3 linked regions of the Oryctolagus cuniculus genome follow. The protein of the gene in region 3 purifies or fractionates together with the protein of the main gene of each other region. This does not show direct contact. Links are inferred from orthologs where the notes say so. Each region holds a gene or a part of one and is shown on either strand. Other genes may lie near its edges.

Evidence for each region.
Region 1: the proteins of LITAF (region 3) and NEDD4 purify together in Homo sapiens (co-immunoprecipitation; 4 studies listed by BioGRID and IntAct, counting the BioPlex papers as one, with this or other methods). This does not show direct contact. The link is inferred for Oryctolagus cuniculus from reciprocal best matches to the Homo sapiens genes LITAF and NEDD4.
Region 2: the proteins of LITAF (region 3) and NEDD4L purify together in Homo sapiens (affinity purification with western blotting; 3 studies listed by BioGRID and IntAct, counting the BioPlex papers as one, with this or other methods). This does not show direct contact. The link is inferred for Oryctolagus cuniculus from reciprocal best matches to the Homo sapiens genes LITAF and NEDD4L.

Annotation. Positions count from the first base shown.
Region 1 is NC_091443.1:78,617,954-78,622,219, reverse strand, and holds the start of NEDD4 (E3 ubiquitin-protein ligase NEDD4), read left to right. Parts: upstream 1-1,388; 5' UTR 1,389-4,266. UniProt on the Homo sapiens protein: E3 ubiquitin-protein ligase which accepts ubiquitin from an E2 ubiquitin-conjugating enzyme in the form of a thioester and then directly transfers the ubiquitin to targeted substrates. Specifically ubiquitinates 'Lys-63' in target proteins.
Region 2 is NC_091441.1:20,023,513-20,027,106, reverse strand, and holds part of NEDD4L (E3 ubiquitin-protein ligase NEDD4-like), read left to right. Parts: intron 1-750; coding exon 751-882; intron 883-1,342; coding exon 1,343-1,465; intron 1,466-2,547; coding exon 2,548-2,745; intron 2,746-3,594. UniProt on the Homo sapiens protein: E3 ubiquitin-protein ligase that mediates the polyubiquitination of lysine and cysteine residues on target proteins and is thereby implicated in the regulation of various signaling pathways including autophagy, innate immunity or DNA repair.
Region 3 is NC_091450.1:25,062,089-25,066,153, forward strand, and holds the start of LITAF (lipopolysaccharide-induced tumor necrosis factor-alpha factor), read left to right. Parts: upstream 1-1,260; 5' UTR 1,261-1,413; intron 1,414-2,243; 5' UTR 2,244-2,393; intron 2,394-4,065.

The sequences.
Region 1 (4,266 bases), on a different chromosome or scaffold from region 3:
ATCATAATACCATCATTTGTTAATCCTTCTTAATAGACAGGAGTGTTATTATTTCTAGTTTTGGTTTTTTGATATTTTGTGAGTTTTGTTTGTTTGTTTTTGCTATTAGTTGATAAACATACCTGCTGTGTCTCCTCATGTACTTGACCAAATGTATCAGTCGAGATACTATGGATTACCCCTCCAAAGCATTCTTTTAAAGTTCTGCCTCTGTTAGACAAATCATTCAATTCTTCTAAAAGCAAATAACAGCATTTTCCTTGCTTATCTGAAAAGTGTATTATGATGATATAGTGACTGTGAAAGCACTTGGAAAATTCATCATGATACAGTTGTCAAGTGTTGCCTAACATTCATGGACGTATGCATTTAAAGCTCTCAGATGCCACATTTTTTGTGTTCACTAAGTATGCTATTTGCATCTATTGTATTAAATGCTCTGCTATGCATTAGAAATAGAATTTTCTTAAGGATCTCACTTTACCAGCCAAAGGGAGCCAGAGATCATTAAAATTGGAAGGTGTGTGTCAGTCTAGTTTTCTGTTTCCAGTCCTAGCCGGTAATTGAAATAGAGATCACCTGAGACTTTGTAGCAACTATAGCCTCTATGCCACTGTCTTTATTCTATGGCGTTTCCAGCCAAATTAAGGACATATCATTTTCCTTGCAAATTCTCTTTGGAAATGTATAGTGAGGAGCACAGATACAATTTTAAACAGAGACAATTTCTAGTCATCTGGAAAACATTTGCAATATAAGCGATATTTGCTTTCAAGAAAGAGTAGGCTGATGTATTCCTGTTTTTTTTTTTTTTTTTTTTTTTCCAGCCCGTTTTAAGGCGTGAGGATTATAGTCAGTTGGTAGTGGCGATAGTGGTGGTTCTGTTCATAGAGATGGGACATTTCAGAAAGGTGTGCCTTTAAATAAAACTGCCCGCCAGTACACAAGTTAGTGACAGGCAGGCTGCAGATTCAGATAAGTAAAGATTAATGTTTCAGACTGGAGTCGGAAATCTAAAGGGCAGCAGAGGAAGCTGGAGACCCAGGCAGGGTTTTCTGTGTTGAGTCGAGAGGCAGTATTGCTTATTTCTTGGGAGAGCTCTGACTTTGTTCTGAAGCTCTTCACTGATTGGATGAGGCAATCTGCTTGCTGTAACTTCCTCTGATTGCAATGTGGATCACATCTAAAAAGACCCTCACAGCAGCATCTGGGCACCATAGCTTAGCCAGGTTGACACATAGCATTCACCATCACAGTGGGTTTTGGCCTTCATAGTTCTGCTCAATCATTAGGCTTACCCAGAGCTTAACCATACCACATTATTTTTTGGCAAACAGTCAACAACCAAATAGCTAAGACTCTTGGGTCAGAAGTTTGAATTCTTTTTTTTTTTTTTAAGATTTATTTGTTTATTTGAAAGAGTTACACGGAACGAGAATGAGAGGCAGAGAGAGAGAGAAAAGTCTTCCATCCGCTGGTTCATTCCCCAGTTGGCTGCAATGGCTGGAGCTGTGCCAATCAGGAGCCAGGAGCTTCTTCTGGGTCTCTCACACAGGTTCAGGGGCCAAGGACTTGGGCCATCCTCTACTGCTTTCCCAGGACATAGCAAAGAGCTGGATGGGAAGAGGAGGAGCTGGGACTCAAACCAGTACCCATATGGGATGCCAGCCCTGCAGGCAGCAGCTTTACCCTCTATACCACGGCACCGGCCCCAGGAGCTTGAATTCTAAGATAGTCTCCATTTCACTAGCCAGTCTTTTGGCATCTCCTGGATAAGTGGCTACTTTGACTGCAGATCCCTGTAAGAATGGTACAGACCCTGTGCCACTCCAGATCTGAGACAGCCTAACAAATTCTTCAACCTCTCTGCAATTTAAACTCTTACTTGGAGGACTTGAAAGTACCTGTGATGCTCTTAACCTTACTTTTTCTTGGCAGAAGCCCTCCTCTCAGTCAGTTTTGCAAGCATCATTCTTTTTTGTCCCGGTGCAGAGATTTTGAATATTTCTTTGGACATAGCACAGCTAGATTAACCCTCAAAATGTATGTGTGTGTGTGTGTGTCCATCTGTGTGTGTGTATATGTATATATTTCTGAAAGAAAGTGTTGGGCAGTCAGAGTGGCCACGGTGACATCATGCATGCAAGCATACTTCTAGCCTTCTGTCTGGTGTGAGTAGGCACTTGCTTTGGGGCCCCACACAAGCTCAGGAGGATCAGGAGAAATGTATAGTTATGGTATGGTACTCTGTTATGGCATTGCACTCTGGAAACTTAAAACCTACTTAAGGGACACGAAGCTGATGCTTGTAAGAACGGCTTGCCATGCACCCGGACAGATACCTGGAATTCATTACTTTATATTAATAATCAGAAGATCTCATTAACTGGAAGTTTTAGGCCACAGGCATGAGCATTTGTATCTCATTGATCAGCCTAGGTGGAAGTGATTCATTCTATAAGGTATTAGACCCCTAACTTAGTCCAAGAAGAAATGCTGAAGTCATTTGAAGGCAAAATAAAATATCAGGGCTCTTTGATCTGATAAGGGCCAGCGCTGCAGCTCAATAGGCTAATCCTCCGTCTGCGGCGCTGGCACCCCAAGTTCTAGTCCTGGTCGGGGCGCCGGATTCTGTCCCGGTTGCTTCTCTTCCAGTCCAGCCCTCTGCTATGGCCCGGGAGTGCAGTGGAGGATGGCCCAAATGCTTGGGCCCTGCACCCGCATGGGAGACCAGGAGAAACACCAGGAGAAACATCCGAAGGCTCCTGCCTTCGGATCAGCGCCATGCGCTGGCCGCGGCGGCCATTGGAGGGTGAACCAACAGCAAAAGGAAGACCTTTCTTTCTGTCTCTCTCTCTCACTGTCCGCTCTGCCTGTCAAAAATAAAAAAAAAAAAAATAAAAAAAGAATATTTTATAAAATAAAAGCGATAAGGAAATATTTACCGAAATCTGTAAAATTCATAAAGGAGGTAGGTCATGTAAAACCTAAATAAGGTAATAATTGTATAACTAAGTTCACAAACTGTTATCTGCACTTTAAAACACAGTAGTATCTCATTCCGGTTAGATGTAATTTGATAAATTCCCAGATTTCTATTTTGTGATCTTAATTGATTAAAAATACCATGTAGAAAGTTTTGATTGAAAACAGGTCTAGCTTAAGCAGTTTTCTTTTTTTAAACAAAGTGTGAGTATATGTTTTACATATTTGCTTTTACTTAGGAAAAAAAAACTGACTTAGAAAAATACAACTTGGGTGTAGTAGCATGTGGTGTAAACAGCTGAACTATTTTGCTTTTTACTTTCCTATGAATGAGCCAGTATATATTTATTACTGGAGTTCCAGCTATAAAATTCAGGTAAGGGGTTTAAATATACCCTAGAGTATTATTTAAAAATAAATTTGTTTCTTTCAAATAGAATACCAAGCTTGGTCTGTGACATTTGGGAGAGAAATTAAAATATTAAACTTTTATTGCCTAATAAACTTAAAATAAAGGTTAAATAAATACAAAGTAGAAAAAATATATGTACAAAATCACAACCTCTAAAAGAAACAGACAGTCCACTGTTCTCTACTGTGGGAGTTTTATCAGCGCCAGCAATTCCACCTGTAGGGCAGTGCCAGTCCTCAGAAATGTAAACAAATATGTACTTTGTTTATATAAAGAAATAAGTAGCATGGCTTGTATTTCTTTATAGATATCACACTGCTAAATGGATTGTTTCAAGGCACCAGTAGGGGCCAGCAAAGAGCTCTTAAGAGTTTTTCAGAACAGAATTGGCATTGAGATATGTTTATTTGATGTGTTAAATCCTTTTTAGACTTCTTTACTTACCACAGCACTCTTGTAAGTGAATGGATTGCAGAGACAGTAGAATAAAATATCCTATGTGCTCAGAATATATTGGGGTATAGTTCTTCTGCCTAATCTGCATATATTTTGAAAGGAATGTTTGCTTAGGCTGTTTCTTGGCAGAGTTTTAATAGTCAAAATACGAACGGCATCATTTAAAGACTGTACCACTTGGCTCGAAAAGAGCTTAAAATTTCAGCAGAAAATGCTTGGTGACAGCTTCTCAAACTTTTTTTTTTTCTCAGACCTATGCTCCATTCTTACAATAGCATTACCAGACTGGTTTCAGAATGTAATCCTTAAGCTTTCGCTTTTTATAACTGGTATTTGGAAGCTGAAGTACTTATCTGTTTGATTTAATGCTAAAAGTTTAATTCACTCCCCAAGTTTGGGTGTTTCCAAGTTTA
Region 2 (3,594 bases), on a different chromosome or scaffold from region 3:
CCTCCATAAGTGATTGGCACATCCGTGCTTATCCCACCATGGCTCCAGCCAGACTACGTGTTGCTGCCGCCCCCTCAGGCAGACGTGTCTCAGTAGATGTTTCTGTGGCTTCTGCACCCTATGTCGCTCCACTCTGGCTGAGACTCGAGAGCCGGGCTTCCTTTAAGGAGACAGCCTATCAGTGGGCTGCATACGCAGCTTCAGGTTGCCAGGAGACGCCCTGAGCTGGGGCACGCGGGTGTCCTGGGTGCTGGTCAGGACTCTGTGCCACTGCGTGAGTGTCCCAGAGGAGCCTCTGCGGGTTAGGTGTCCGTGTGCCCTGCAGGCTGTGGCGTAGGGCACCCGAGCTGACGGCGTGGCAGCCGGCGGGAGGAGGAAGCCTGCAGAGCATCCCTGTAAGCACTGGACGCTCCCCGTGGTTGGCAGGAAGCGTAGCAGCTGGGACGGATCTTGGTGTCTCGTTCTCTCTTCCTGCGGTCCCCTTAGCCGTGACCTTTGTGTTGAAGGCCATAGGGTGTGAGAAGCAAGCCCTGTAAGAGTTTGGACCCCATGGCCATATGGGGTTCATCTCACTGGAGACTTGAAGTGACCAGAAACATCTTGCTGTTTTGTTGAGGTGTTTTCTGTACAAACGAAACAAACTCAACCTTGTGTAGGAAAACGTAGATTATCTGAGTATGCGTTGCTTTGTGAAACTAATCAGAAAACCAATGCCAGTTATTAAACAATGATGATTTCTTGCACAAACAGCCGTCAGTGGCCTATGTACACACCACGCCGGGCCTTCCTTCAGGCTGGGAAGAAAGGAAAGATGCTAAGGGACGCACATACTATGTCAATCATAACAATCGAACCACAACTTGGACTCGGCCCATCATGCAGGTATGAAGAGCGCCAGCCAGCTTCGAGTCACAGGCTGCGGACGCCTCCCTCCCGTCCCTGGTGTTAACATCCTGTTCTCCAGGACCCCTGTGCGAAAAAATATATATATACATTTAAACAAAAAACAAATACGTGACTTAGTGTTTGCCCGAGGAAGAATCTGGTCCTTACGCCAAGTCGGTCCCAGGGTGCGTTTTTCAAATCCGAGCCCGTTGCCACGTGCACCTGCCCTTCGGCCCCCTGGGTTACTTGGAGGCTGGTTTTTACGCTGGGCCAGTGCCCCATCCTTGTTCCCCCTGTGTTTCCTGTCCTTACCCCACCCACCCCCTTATTCTCTTGAATGGATTCCTCCATGCTGTACACAGACCTGGCCTCTTACTACTGCCGTGGGCTCACGCTGCCCACCACAGCCTCGGGGAGGGCCTGGAGCGAAGCTAACTTGTTTTTGCCTCCAAACCAGCTTGCAGAAGACGGCGCCGCCTCCGGATCGGCCACAAACAGTAGCAACCACCTAATCGAGCCTCAGATCCGCCGGCCTCGTAGCCTCAGCTCGCCAACAGTAACTTTATCTGCCCCGCTGGAGGTGAGAAGGCGCCCTCATCCACCTGGGCTCGCTCTGTCCTGTGCCCGCTCACTCTCCTCTCTCGCAACTCTGACCTGAGTCTCGCGGCCACCGTGCTCTCATCCGTGTGTTGGTGGTGGTGGTGCAGGCGCAGGGTGTGCTGGGACAGCCTCACGTGCTTCTCTGTCTCGCCCAGTCAGCGTCCTGGACTCCTTTGCCTCTCATTCTCATTGGGCTGAGACCGTGGGAACTGGTGCTGGGTGTGGGAATCCTCTCTGTTCAGAACTTTGGCCATTCCTGCTGTGTTTCGCTCCTGACTGCCTGTTCTACGTCATTAGACTCGCATAGCAGCTCTCTTCGGTGACAGTGCTCATACTGAGTCTCCAAACATAGCTTTGGTCATTTTTTTTTTTTCCTTTCAACTGCAAGGTCTCTCATTGTATGGGTTCTGTGTGTTTCCAAAGCCTCTTTGCATCTCCAATCATGGCTGGGCACCCGCTTGTGTTTCCTCTCTCCTGTCCGTGCTGTGGTAATACCATCCTGTGATACCACAAATGTCAGAGAGTGGGAGAAGCCACAAGTAAATGTTGGAGCTGTGGACTTGACCTTGTCTCGGAGCTAGCTGGATGCTTCTCCATTCTCAGTGTCGAGACACCGTTGGGTGGGAACAGGTGATCCCTCCCCTGCATTCTCGGAGAAACGTCACGGGCCACAGCTCTGCAGTCGTAGGTGGTCGCCGCCATCGCCTTAGGGACTTCTTTTTTCACGTTTCGCAGGCTGCCAATCTGTTCTTCATTAGACTGTGAGCTCATTAAGAGCAGGGGCACGTTCCTCTCAGCTCCGTAAAACCTCCATGCGTAGTGCTTAACGTAGGGCAGGGTTTGTGGTGTGGATCTGGTGGCCACCGAGGGAAGCTGGTGAGAAGCGCTGAACGCTGTGTGCCGAGCCAGCAGAGAGACCTGAGGTCAGACTGGCTTAAAGAAGATGAGACACAGGTGTTTTAGCAGCCTCCCCCTTTGTCCGACTCCAGAGAGGAGCGTTCGGCCATCACCAGGTGCAGGGCCACGCGACACAGAGTTCTAACACTCCTTGTTATTCCTTAGGGTGCCAAGGACTCCCCCGTGCGTCGGGCTGTGAAAGACACCCTTTCCAACCCACAGTCCCCACAGCCGTCCCCCTACAACTCCCCCAAACCTCAGCACAGAGTCACCCAGAGCTTCCTGCCGCCCGGCTGGGAGATGAGGATCGCGCCCAACGGCCGGCCCTTCTTCATTGACCACAACACAAAGACGACGACGTGGGTAAGGCTGCTGCTGTCACCTGGCTCCGTGTTCCCGGCCGGGTCCGCCAGTAACCCCTGGGCCTCCTCGCGGAGGAATCGCCTTGACTGAGAAGTGCGACCCCCACCAGTGGGGAGGCCCAGCTGCCATGGGCTGTGGGCGTGGGTGGGTGTGGGCCCAGGCCCACGGGCATCTTTGGGGTGCTGTTTGTCATGGCGCTCCCAGAGAGCTGCAGTGCTGACGGTTCACCCTGGCCGAGGAAGCAAAGGAGCACTCGGTGTTGCCGGGATCCTCGTGCCATTGCACTCTTACCGGGACTTGTGTCTTTCTTGAAATGTGTCTCCTTCCTCGGCTTCTTCTCGTGTGTCCATGGACGTGACTCCCTTCCGTTTGGTTTGTCACCGTCTGTGTTCTCTTTCCACTGACCGTGGCTCAGGACTGTGGCTGTGGGTTGGAGAGCTCTTTGCTGTGAGCGCTTTGTCAGAACTGACTTTGCCTACACCCTGCTCTTTTCCTGGGCCCCCACTTCATGTGTGAGGAGCAGCCTGCGTGTTGTCCTAACTCAGGCGAAATGAGTCACAGGTGCACACGCGTGTGCTCGTACTGCCTCTCTGCAGCCGAAGCAGCAGTGGCATTGCCAGGTAGCAGCAAGCTCCTCCAGAGTCAGTGGTCGCCACACCCTCCCTGGCCCCATGGTTGCACTGAAGTTGCTTCTGTTGCTCGCTGGTTCTGGTGTTACAGACCGTGTGCTTTTCCTCCCCGTGCTGGGTTGTCTGGGTAGAGTTAACTCAGGATGTAGCCTAGTCCTCCTGTCCCTGTGCTGCTTGCTTGAGAGCCCGTTGGGTTTGGAGATTGCCACTGGGCCTGCTC
Region 3 (4,065 bases):
AAGGTCACACAGCTCAAAAGTAGGTGCGCACAGACCCAATCACCCAGGTGGCCTGCAGCCGGAACTCCAGCTCCCAATCGTGACCCTAAACTGTCACAGTCTTCACCCACCCACCCCCAGCTCCTCTCCCCGGTGCCCGAGGGGCCTGGGACCAGCTGACCCCAGGGCGGTCGCCCTCGGGACTCAGGATGACAAGCACCCATACGCCAGCGAGCGCGGGCGGCGAGCAGGCTGGGTGCCAGGCGCTCCACGCACCCTCTCATTAACCCTGGCGGGGCCGCCGGCGTCCCCGCGCCGCACGGAGCAGCAAGCCCGGTGCCAGGGACGCAGGGGCTCGGCCGGGGGGGGCGACAGCTGGGGAGGGGGCGACAGCTGGAGGCGGCTGGAGCCGGCCCGCCTTGGGGCGGGGGTCGGCGGCCACGAGACCCAGTCCTGCCCACGCCACGCCGTCACCGCCGACGGAGCCGCGCCCGCCTCAGTTTCCCCACCCGCGCGCCAGGCGCCGGACGTCGCCCGGACCCCTGACTCCCGCCTGATTCCGTCGCCGCAATCCGCCTGACCGCGCTGGGGGCTGCCAGGACCCAAGCCTTGGAAGCAATTTTGAAAATCCTCGAAGTGTCCCAGGGAGCCCCGGAGGCCGGCCCGGGCCTGGGCGGGGGGCGTGCACAGGGGGCTGGAGCACCGCTCCCCGCGAGGCGGCCTCCGCCCCCCGCCGCCTCCTTTGTCCCGACCTCTCCGCAGCGCAGCGGACAAAGAGCCCCCGCCGCGGGCGCGGCCCCCGGAACAGACAGACCCTCCCTCCCGCCAGCCGCGCCCCGGCCCGGGCCGCCCCTCCCTCGCCGCGAAGACCACCTCCCACCCAGGCCCGGGGCACCGCCGCCCCGCGCGCCCGCGCGCGCGCCCCCACCCCGTCCGGGGCCGCCCCTTCCCCTCCCTCAAGCCCCCGCCTGGCGCACCGCCCAGCCCGCCCGGCCCCGCTCACCATGGCGCAGCCCGCAGCCCCGGCCCGGTCGCCCCGCAGCAGCCCCGCGGGCCCGGCTCCGCCCGCCAGCCCGCCAGCCCGGTCCGGCCGCCGCGCACCGTCGGGACGCAGGAACCCCGCTCTGCGGCGGGCGGGGCGCCTCAGGCTCCGCCCCGGACGGGGGCGGGGACCTCCGGCGTGGCCAATAGGCGCCTGCGCTGGGACGGCGGGGCGGGCCGGGCCGGGGCGGAGTCACGTGCGCTCGGGGCCGGGGCCGGGGCGGCCGGCGTGGGCGGGGGCTCCGCGCAGCTGGCGGGACGGCGGGCGGGGCGGGGGGCGCTGGTGGGTTGGGGCCGCGCCGTCAGCGCCGTGCCTCCGCCAGCCTCACCCCAGCCCCACGGGCTGTCCTCTTCCCGCGCGCTTACCGACGGGGAAACTGAGGCGCCCGGCAGGTAAGAGCTTGGGACTGGAGCCAGCTGGTCGTTTACTCATTCGTAAGGTTTATCGAACCTCGGCCACATGCCTGCTGCCCCGGAGGCCTCAGCGCAGCGGGAGCCAGAGAGTTCCACCCCCTTGACAGTGTGTCATCCTGCTTATTTTGACCGTAATAGCAGGCGCCCTGCCCACCAGATGCCCAGCCCTGTCCTACCAGTGAGTACGCTTAGCTCAAGACAGACCCCCACGGAGCTAGCCCACCTTACCGCTGCGAGGTGCGGAGGGATCCCAGGGTTTGGTTCCAGGCCTGCGCCCCCGGCTGGGAGAGGCCCCAGTTAGTGTGGGCATAGCAGCTGGTCGCTGCAAGTGGGCGCTCGCCGTGGCCAGTGAGGCCCGTTCGAGGGGTGGGTGCTGCAAGGCCGGTGAGCCCAGAGGGGCTGGTGGACCTGGGGCTCCTGGGAGCTGGACGGCTTGTCCGCCGGTAGCTTCTTTGCCTGTCTCTGGCAGAAGCTTGCAGGCCAGGGCGTCGGGCATCCCTGGCTCCCTCCTGCACGGCCTGGGCTCTCCTCCCGCGCCGTCAGAGCACCAGGCTGTTCCTGCCCCAGTGCCTTTGCCATGCCACTTGCTCCTGCCCGTGCCACTTCTCCACTTCATTGATCTCAGCTTGAATGGCCCTTCCTTGGCAGGGGCTTTCCTAACCCCCCCCCCCCGCCCCACCTCCCCATCTCTCCTGCCCCTTGTGAAATTAAACATTTGGGGGGCAGAGCAAGGGAGGGCCTTGGGAGTTGGGGGTGGTGATGAGCTTTTCCCTGGGTTGGGTCTGCTCCATTCTCTGTCTTTTCTGCAGAGGAGCGCCAGGCACACAGGCTGGCTGCCCTGTGCTCTGGCTGTCCGTCACACCTGGGAGTCCAGAGTGGCAGGAAACAGGTTCTTCCCACAAAGCCAGTTCCAGCGGCCTTTGCGGTCCCAGCCTCCAGCCAGCAGAGCATCATTAGTGGTAAGAGCTGGGCAGGGCAGGCTTGGAACCCCAGAGCCAGAGCTGGCGTCGCGATGCCAGGCAGGCAGGGACACTTGGGGGAACAGATTCTCGGGGGAAAGTGGTAATGGAAGTTGGCAGACTGCCAGGGTTCGAGTCCAGCCGTTTATGCTGTGTGGCTTTGGAAAAGCAGCCTGACCTCTCTGTGCTGTTTTCTCTGGTGTGAGCACATCGAGTGCTTGGCACAGAGGACGGCCTCCTGGCCACTCGCTGGTGCCGTCAGTGCTAGGGTTGAACGGGTTGGGCCGTGAACTTGAACTTCCCCGGCACGTTGCTGCACCCCCAGAGCCTTGGGTGCCTCGTCTTCAGGGTGGGTCTCATGAAACCCACCTCGGGGGTGGGCTGAGGATGGGGGACCTGCAGCAGCCCTCTGAGCCCCTCTTGTCTAGAATGTTCCAGTAATGCTAAGTTACTGTGAATTGTACCGGTGGCATTTGCTGGGAACTGGACAGACATTTCACACCCATTCTACGGAAGAGGAGCCGAGGCACCCCAGGGTGCGTGTGCACCCGGGGAGGGTGCCGTAGAGCAGACCCTGGCTGTGGTCTGCAGGTCTCACGAGCACCCCAGGCGGGGCCAGGGCGGGGCAGTGTTCCCCACACTTAACACAGCGAGGGCCCGAGTCGTTTGCTGAAGGCCACAGAACAGCAGTGCCCAGCCCGGGGTTGGAGCCCCTCCAGTGTCCTGCCTGCCCCGGCCCCGGCCCCGCTGTCATCCCTGGCTGGGAGGAGGCAGGAAGTGTAAGTCCCTTCCCCCAGAGCAGTTTCCTCCCGGTGCCTCCGGGTGACATCTGGCCCAGGGTCCCCAGGGTCCTCCCTGTGGGCCGGGCTGCAGGTTCCCAGCTGCTCATTAGCCAAGACGATAATTAAGGGCGGGGGATGAGCTCACCCCTGCTCCCTCGGGCCTGCCGGGGCCCAGTCGGCCCTGCCCTGTGCCAGCCTGGCCCTGTGCCCACTCCCCCCCCTCCCAGTGCTGGAGGGGCTTGTGGGGGGAGGGGGGTGAAGCAGACGCAGGCAGCCTTAGGGGAGCCCCCTGCAGCCCAGCCACAGCCCCCAGGCATCTGCTCCAGGGATTTCCAGGCCTAAAAGCAAAAGGAACCCTGGGGCCAGAGAGGAACCCCCTGAAGGGCGAGGAGCACGCGCTGAGCAGGGGCCGGTGGGAGGCCCCGCCCTGCTCTTTCCAGGGGGTAGCCCCTCCCACCTCGCTCCCAGCTAACGTGGCTGTCACGGCTCCCCAGGCTGGCTCAGCCCTCCTGGCTCCAGGACTGCGCTGTGGAGCCAGAGTGTCCCGGCGTTGTATTTGGCGCGCTTGTGCGTCGGTTTTCTCCTGTTCATGGCAAGTGTTGCCTTTTTTTTTTTTTTTAAAGATTTATTTATTTATTTGAAAGAGTTACAGAGAGAGAGAGAGAGGTCTTCCATCCACTGGTTCACTCCCCAAATGGCCGCAACAGCCGGAGCTGCACCGATCCAAAGCCAGGAGCCAGGAGTTTCTTCCGGGTCTCCCACGCAGGTGCAGGGACCCAAGGCCTTGGGCCATCTTCCACTGCTTTCTCAGGCCACAGCAGAGAGCCGGATGGGAAGTGGAGCAGCAGGGACTCAAACCGGCGCCCATATAGGATGCCGGCATTTCAGGC